2 linked regions of the Coturnix japonica genome follow. The protein of the gene in region 1 interacts with the protein of each later gene in a pairwise test. Links are inferred from orthologs where the notes say so. Each region holds a gene or a part of one and is shown on either strand. Other genes may lie near its edges.

Region 1 (4,496 bases):
GTTAAAGAGGTGTGCAGTATTCATAGGTTTTTTAACACTCTTTGCCTCTTTGATTCCCTGTGCTGGTAAAGACTTCTTGAGAAGGCTTACTTGTCTTTATAGAGTGCTTTTCAGAGTTGCTTTCCAAGCTTATTCCCTGTTTGGGAAAGGCAGATTTGTGGATTTTTAAACTCATACTTTCTTTTCTGCTCTACAGAAATCTCAATGCTTTACCTTTGATGATGAGGAACGGGAGGAGAGGAAGGTAGGCGTGCTCTTTGGCTTCTTGTTCTTGTTGTCCTGTAGATGGTGGCTGGGGATAAAAATCAGTATTCTTCCAACATTAGCAATCCCTTTGGGTTTGGTGATGCATATGGCTTCAGCAGCATGCATGAGAAGCATGATCCTGTGTGTGTGTGTGTGTGTGTGTGTGTGTGTGTGTAAATGGTGCAGTCTGCTAAGCAAAGATAACAGCAGCATGCGGGTAAGTGCTTCTGCTGTGAGCGAGCTGCAGGATTTGACCAAAGCTGTCTATTAACAAACCCTTTAAGCTGGAATAATCTGGCACTCAGTGGAAAGAAATACCCCTGTCCATTTCCACTCGTGGCATTTCTCTTGTGCTGGGGCAGGCCTTTGCACGGCTGCACTGCAGATATGCTTGGTAGGATCTGCTTTAGGAAAGAACATTTTTCTTCTATCTCTGTTATTCTCCATCTGGACCAGTTTTGTGGTGGGTCGTGTGTGGAAGCAGGGGATTAATGGTGGAGTGACGTGTTGCTATGTGTAGTTACAACCTAGCTGCACTGGGTTGTGTGAGGCTTTACCTTTCGCTCTTGTACTTTTCCATGTTTGCTATCATGTATGTTATTGTTATCCACAAGGGTTATATCTTCAGCTGTGGTAAATCAGTGTTACTGGAGCTGTCAGTCTGTACCTATGAAGGGGTAGTAGGTCTCCAGACAGCACTGAAATTTATGGGAGGTCCTTTTTATTTGAATCTTCTGAGGTCTTTTCCCCTCCTTTCTTACCACATCACACACAATTCTGAACCCATTAAGTTCTTTTTCCCCTCCCACAGCAGTTCTCTGGTGTCAGCCTCAGCAGCCTGTTTGGAGCACCCAAAGCAGAAGCTTCTCTAGTCTTAATGCTCTGGGTGAGGCTGAACCACTGCTGTTGAACTGAGTGCTGCTTCTCAGTGAAGATATAAGGGACTTTTTTGCACTGTTCTCTTAGCTTATTGCAGCTGTCAGGTAATCCATATTAGCCAAAACCATCCTAACCATGGGTGAAGCTAAAATAAGCAGTAGTTCACTCACTCAGCAGCAGCTGCCTGTTCCTATTCTTCACTTAATTCTGACAGCACTCCCCAGCCATTCTTTGTCTCTTGCTGGTTGTCCTTGCTTGACTTGGGTCAGCATCAGGTGCCAGAAGCAAACGCTTTGAGAGCTGCCTGTTAGAAGGCCTGTATCTAGATGATGCTTTGTATCTAGGTGATGCTCCTAGGTGTTACAGCATGCTACCTTGCGTTGGGGCTGCACTGTGAAGTGTCAGCATGTGTGGCATTCTTTGTTTCTAACCACGCAGAAAATGGCCCAGTTGCTGATCAAGTTTCTGGAGAGAGAGCTCCAGCCATCCTGCCAGGTCACGTGCTTGGAAAGCATCCGCATCCTGTCACGGGACAAATACTGCCTTGAGCCTTTCAGCACCGAGGAAGGGCTGAAGACCCTATCCAGGCATGCTGGCATTGATTACTCAGAGGAGCTCATCCGAGAGGTCCCGGACTTGGAGGTCATCCTGGAATCCCTCAAATGCCTCTGCAACATTGTCTTCAGCAGTCCGAGAGCACAGGAGCTGACAGCTGAAGCCCGGCTGGCAGTGGGCCTGACAAAGCGCATCAAACTCTACAACGAGAGGAGCCTTCCTCATGAAGTCAAGTTCTTTGACCTGCGTCTTCTCTTCCTGCTGACAGCACTGAGAGTGGATATCCGGCAGCAGTTAGCCCAGGAGCTCCGGGGCATCAGCCTGATGACAGACACCCTGGAGCTGACTCTTGGTGTCAAGTGGATGGACCCCTATGAGGTTGCCACTGAGGAAGGATTGCTTCCACCTTTGCCTCGGCAAGAGACAGAGCGAGCCATGGAGATCCTGAAAGTGCTCTTCAATATTACTTTTGATTCCAGCAAGAGGGAGGTGGATGAGGTAAGCTCCTCGAGTGTTGCACCACACTACATTTGCTTGTCTACTCTTATGTTGTGTTAGATACTAGCCCCCTTGCAGCCTCTGCTTGCATGTAAGGGTAGCAAGAGACTTGTGTGTGTGGACCTTGTTCTGCAGGGCACTGCCTCTGATGCATTAAGACTTTACAGCATTAAGACCTGTAAGTTGGGCATTTTTCCTTCTTAATGATATTGACTTGTGCAAGTGGGAAAGCAGAACCCCCCCATGTACACATAACTCACTTGTGTGTGTCCTGCTGCCTTTCACCTCTGGACAAAGTCAGAAGGAGGTCTGATATCATGTCTATTTTATCCCTGTGCCCACTCCTGGGCCTCTTCCAGCCCCTGACTTGGTGCTGTAGGGCAATGGGGAAGATATCTGGCAGCAGATGGAGAATCTGGAGGATAGTTGCACATATACACCCTGCTGTCAGTGAGCAAGTTGTTGGAGGGGAGGGATGGGGCTGTGGGTTGTAGAGACAACAGGCTTTGGTTTGTGGAGACCCTTTTCTGATCAAGGTTTCCATTTTCTATTTTGGAACCAGGAAGATGCTGCTTTGTACCGGCACTTGGGTGCACTCCTGCGCCACTGCCTCATGATCTGTGCTGACGGAGAGGACCGGACGGAGGAGTTCCACAGGTCTGTTAGATAACTACATAATGGCCTTCACTGGACACAGACTTGAGGTCTCCCCAACACTGGCCCTGCCTGACAACAGCCATCAGAGTATGAATGAGTGATGCAGCAGGAGACTCTAGAGACCTACTTGGTCCTACTTGGCCTCTGTGTCAAGGTCCATTGTTTTTCTGTTGTCACTGAAGAATTTTTGGACTTCCAGCAAGTTATTCAACTATGAGGGTTGGGGAAGGAAAGCAGTTACACTTGCTCAATTCTAGTGGTATAGGTAGCTTGGGATCCAACCCAAAGAGAGTTTGGGTCTGTTTTCAGAGTCCTCTTGATCCTGGAAGCTAATAATGAACCTTGATTCCTGTATAGTTGATGAGTTTCTGTGAACAAAGATCCTTGACTATGTATTCACCTCTGTTCTTTCTTAAGCCACACAGTTAATCTTTTGGGCAACCTGCCTCTGAAATGTCTGGATGTTCTCCTGACTCCAAAAGTCCGTCCAGGATCACTTGAGTACATGGGTGTCAACATGGATGCAGTTAATATCCTGTTGGATTTCTTAGAACGGCGCCTTGACAGGGTAAGCTGAGAGGCTGCTGTACAGAGCTTTTCACTGCTGGTTTACACAAGCTCACTGCAGGGCACAAGGAAGCTTGCATTCAGCCTGAATTCAGTATAGAAGTGGCAGTTCTAGTTGGTTGGACTAGAACATTTGTGAACTGGGAGGGTTGCTGTGGCACTGTTGCTTTGGCAGGTAGTGAGACTGACAGAGCCAGCAGATGGTTAGCTGTGTGATTCAAATACAGGTGCTCTGTTTCACTCAAGTCAATTATGATTTGTTGGGCAGCTGAATTGGTTTGATACAGCCAAATCTCTTGACTGGTGGCTTGTTATGATGCTGTCCCCACAGTCTGCTGTCAGAAGACTGGCAGTCATAATGTTATTTGTCAAGACCATTCATCTTTCTTTCCTCCTCCTAAGCGCTTGTCCTCCTCTGTTCCATTGCTTTTGGCAGCCTGATTTTGCACTGTTGTTAAGCTAGTGGCCATTTTCATTCTCTGGAGTTATTCCAGAGGGTCTCCAAATTTGACTGCTGCACTTCTCTGCTCTAGATGTTCTGTGTGAGTAGAAACGCTGAAGAGAGGGACACAGAAAGCCTTGCTGTTTGAGGAGTGATGAAACACTGAATTTCCTGTAGCAGAAGCTGTTGTTACGTCTCAGTGCCCCTCTGTTTCCCTGTGGTTCAGCACTGATGGTCTCCACCATGAGCCAGGGAAGTTGAGCTCAGTGTAGCTGATGCATTGCTCATCTTGTGAATGCTTCTGCAGGGACATAAGCTGAAGGAGAGTCTGACCCCTGTGCTGAACCTGCTGACCGAGAGTGCCAGAGTCCATCGCCAGACAAGGAAGTTCCTGAAGGCGAAGGTACATCATGGGTTCAGCTGAAAGTCAAGTGGTGGTGCTCTGAGGAGAGAGGAGAATAGCAAGCTACCTGAATATTGCCATTCTCTAAGGAGACCTCCTCTCTCTCTTAGATTCAAACATACATGAGGTTGTAGCCCATAGTTGTATAATGCACGCACTTCTTTCCCTGCATACCCTGTGGTTGCTGTTCCAGCTCCACTGATTGCTCCTTGCTGTTGCCTTGTAGGTGCTGCCTCCACTGCGGGATGT
Region 2 (3,944 bases), on another chromosome or scaffold:
TTGCCATCAGATAAAGCATTCACACAACATTTAGGACAGCTAACACAGGAAATTGAACAGAAAAGCTTCCATTAGGATCTGAAATGTATAAATGTATCCATAGATGTATACACAAAGCCTTACTCTCAGCTCTGGCCCTGAAAGTTCCTGATCTGTTCATTTTCACTTTTTAACAGTTGAATGGAAAACGCTACACTGAGTTGAGTTGTGAGAAAACACATGTATTTGAGCATTAGTTTGGATTAGGTTGGATGTTAGGGGGAAGTTCTTCACTAGGAGAGCGGTTAGGCCCTGGAACAGGCTGCCCAGGGAGGTTGTGGATGCCCCGTCCTTGGAGCTGTTCAAGACCAGGTTGGACGGGGCCCTGGGCAACCTGATCTAGTAAAGGTGTATGTTTGGTGGCCCTGCCAGGCAGGGGGGTTGGAACTACATGATCCTTGAGGTCCCTTCCAACCTGGGTCATTCTGTGATTCTGTGATTAGTTTCATATCCTAAGATTTCAGGAGACTGCAGCAGAAAACAATTCCCCCAAAAGCTGATCTATATCAGATAGAATTTATATAAAAAGCTACTATCATATGAATTTGTATCCAAGAATATTAAGCTACTGTAAACAGCTCATTCTCAAGTTTAACGCAACTTTTATAGAAGACTTTATCCATACTCACGGAAAAGCATAACTACTACCTATGTAGTATTTAAAGCTCAGTAGAGAACAGCAGAACTCTGAAAAACCATTTCTAATGACTTGTCAGAGTACACACAGAGCAGTACTCTGTGACTCTTGAAAAAGGACATTTTCTGCAGTGCATTACTATTGATCAGAGGATAACCTTTCCACACAACAGACTCCAGGCTTATGAATTTGTACAGGACTAAGCACACCAACAGCCTAACACTTTCTAGAAAGCAAACCGAAAAGCTTTTTTTCCCCTCATATGCAGAACTTTAAGCCTATACACACGTTTTCAGAAGTTTGCTTTACCTATACTAGGCTTGTTTCGTTTCTTCACAGACACACAGAAGGAAGTGCTTCAGTTCCCTGGACCTGTCTGGAGCTATTTTACAAGCTACAAGCTTTACAAGGAACAGATAGAAGTTAATTAATTAAGAGTTCTACTACAGCAAGATTTGCACTAAATAGAATGCTTAAGGAAGCACTCCATGAAAACAAATATATGGAGAAGAAAAAATTGGGTACTACTTTATAAACAGAAACCTTCCTTGGAACTGTAGCTTCTGGATGAGCAGCACAAGGAAAACTGAAACTCCATGTTTATTTATTTATTTTTAATTATTTTTTAATTATGGGTTAAAAGGATCCAGAGCAGTTCAGCTATAAAGCATAACACAAAACTCCCCGTAACATCAATACATCATATGCCTTGCAGGATTCAGCTGTCCACAGCACGTACAGTAGAGTTAGAGCTGCACAAAGACATTACTAATTAGAGATTTCTTCCTCTTTCATAGTAATTTTTAGCAGTAATTTTACTTCATTTATCTTTATAGACAAACATCACTTAAAATGAACAAAGCTGCCAGTTTTAAGAACTTGGGAGTAAAATCAAGAAGACTTGGTAGCACGGAACCACAGAATGGCTTGGGTTAGAAGGGACTTTGAAGGCCATCCAGTGCCAATGCCCTGCCTTGTGCAGGACTGATGCTCATCAGATCAGGACCCAGGGCCCCATCCAATCCCACCCCGAGCACATCCTGAGGTTGGGAATCCATTGCTTCTCCGTGCAGCTCCTCATCACCCTATTCCAGTGATCCCCAGTATTACACACTTTATAACCCCACCAAGGTTTGACCTTATGTTGTAAAAGTTCGGCAGCAGAAACAACTTCCAAAAGAAAACGAAGCGAGAAGTCAGACGGCGCCTCGCGTTGCTTTGATGTTTTTCCCACTTCACTCTTACAGCAACAGTTCAGAAGGGGATGTTCCACACGAAACAAACATCCCCCAACCTGAAATCCCCTTAAGCCCTTCCTCGGAACCGAAGTACCCAGAACCCACATCAAAAGTACAAGATCTCTCTCCCTCCCCTTGGGGAGCCGGGGCCTTATCTAAACAAAGCCCCAACAGCTCGGAACCGCTCCCCGGCCCGGCCCGCAGCCCCGCCGCGCCCACCTGCGCTCCCCCTCCCTCCTCCCCCAAGGATCCACGAGCGGATTCCGAGGATCTACGAGCGGCCTTCCCACCCCACCACCCGCCGGTCCCGGGGGAGCGATGCTGGGGGACCTCCGCGGTCCCCCGCCCCCGGTTCGGCCCTCACAGCTCCGCATCTCGGCCAGACCGGGGGGGGCCCACCCTTACCCAGCAGGAGCAGCTTCACCTCCCTGGCCGCTTTCTCGCCGTCCTCTCGCAGGTTCCTGTCGATCATCTTGCTCCTCTCCACCGCCGCCTTGTCCTCGGCGCTCAGCGTGCAGCCCATCTCGGCAGGGGCTGCGTACCTCGCCGCGGGGAGAAGCGGGGAGCGGAGAGCTCCGGAGAGGCGTAAAAAAGGAGGGGGGGGAGCAGAGCCCGCCCGCTTTCTTTCTCCCTCCTTCCCCACCTGAAGCGCAAGTAAAGGGAAGAGCGGAGCAAAAAGAAGAAAAAAAAAACAAACCAAAACAAAAAACCCACAAATTTGTACAAAAAAACACCACAACGAAACAGGGGGATGTTTCCCTCGATCCGTCCCCGGGGATGCGCTGCCCCTTCCTCGACTCTGCTGTACACCACCCCCGTCTCTCCGCTGCTCGCGGCGGCGCGCACAGCCCACAACGCCGCGGGAGGGAGAGAAAGGGGGCGTGCGCGTGCACGCGAGGGAGGGCGGGGCGGGCGGCAGTGCGCCTGCGCGCAGCATCGAGCGGCCGGAGCGAACCTCAGGCTGCCGTGCGTGTGTGTGACGTCAGCGCCCAGCTCCGCACACCTGGCGGCGGGCGGGGGGTAAGGGCGGGGATGGTGCTGAGGGCTTGAATTTAAATAGCTCTTAGCGGGAGGTTCCATTGCGTTGAGGAGGGAACGCCCAGTGAAGGCTGTGCTAATGCCTATAGGGTTTGTTCCGGAGACTGAGAGCCGCCTGTGGTAGGGTGACCGACTTTCTTAGGCATAGTCTCACAGAATCACAGAATGACCCCGGTTGGAAGGGACCTCAAGGATCATGTAGTTCCAACCCCCCTGCCTGGCAGGGCCACCAAACATACACCTTTACTAGATCAGGTTGCCCAGGGCCCCGTCCAACCTGGTCTTGAACACCTCCAATGACGGGGCATCCACAACCTCCATGGGCAGCCTGTTCCAGGGCTTAACCACTCTCCTAGTGAAGAACTTCCCCCTAACATCCAACCTAAATCTTCCCTCTTTTAACTTAAAACCATTTCCCCGTGTCCTGCTATTGTCAGCCCTTTCAAAGCGTTTACTCCCCTCCTGGGAGTAAGTTCCCGTCAGGTATTGAAAGGCTGCAATGAGGTCACCCCGCAACCTTCTCTTCTCCAGGCTGAACAAACCCAACTCCCTCAGCCTGTCCTCATAGGGGAGGTGCTCCAGCCCCCTGATCATCTGGTAGCCTATGGCTGCTAATATCTCCACCTGCTATTTGTCGCCTCCTGCTGCCTCACTGCTGACAGCCATCATCCGACCTCCCCTCCTTCGTACCGCGGCAGAGGCCTTGGGAGCAGCTGGTGTGATATGATGTGATGTCGGGAGGGTGCTCGGCTTTGTGCTCAGGGGTGACCCCTGCGACTCCTTCTTGTCACCATGTAAACCCAGTACAGTACCACAGAACCTGTATGAGACAAAACTTTCTGAGTTGAAGGATAAGTTTCAGTCAGAACGTCACATGCAAGCACAAGACAAGCATGTTACATTCAGGTTTGTCTTCTGTAGTGAGCCTTTAAGGTTACTTATTTTTCTCACGGAATGGGCTCTAAAAGTAGAGCATTTGACAGCACAGGTGA

Evidence for each region.
Region 2: the proteins of RIC8A (region 1) and guanine nucleotide-binding protein G(i) subunit alpha-1 interact in binary tests that used the Homo sapiens proteins (3 or more experiments, as listed by UniProt). The link is inferred for Coturnix japonica from reciprocal best matches to the Homo sapiens genes RIC8A and GNAI1.

The regions. Positions count from the first base shown.
Region 1 is NC_029520.1:1,396,361-1,400,856, reverse strand, and holds part of RIC8A (synembryn-A), read left to right. Parts: intron 1-196; coding exon 197-244; intron 245-1,563; coding exon 1,564-2,178; intron 2,179-2,740; coding exon 2,741-2,835; intron 2,836-3,252; coding exon 3,253-3,403; intron 3,404-4,151; coding exon 4,152-4,247; intron 4,248-4,473; coding exon 4,474-4,496.
Region 2 is NC_029516.1:10,240,701-10,244,644, forward strand, and holds the start of guanine nucleotide-binding protein G(i) subunit alpha-1, read right to left. Parts: upstream 2,801-3,944; 5' UTR 2,438-2,800; coding exon 2,320-2,437; intron 1-2,319. UniProt on the Homo sapiens protein: Guanine nucleotide-binding proteins (G proteins) function as transducers downstream of G protein-coupled receptors (GPCRs) in numerous signaling cascades.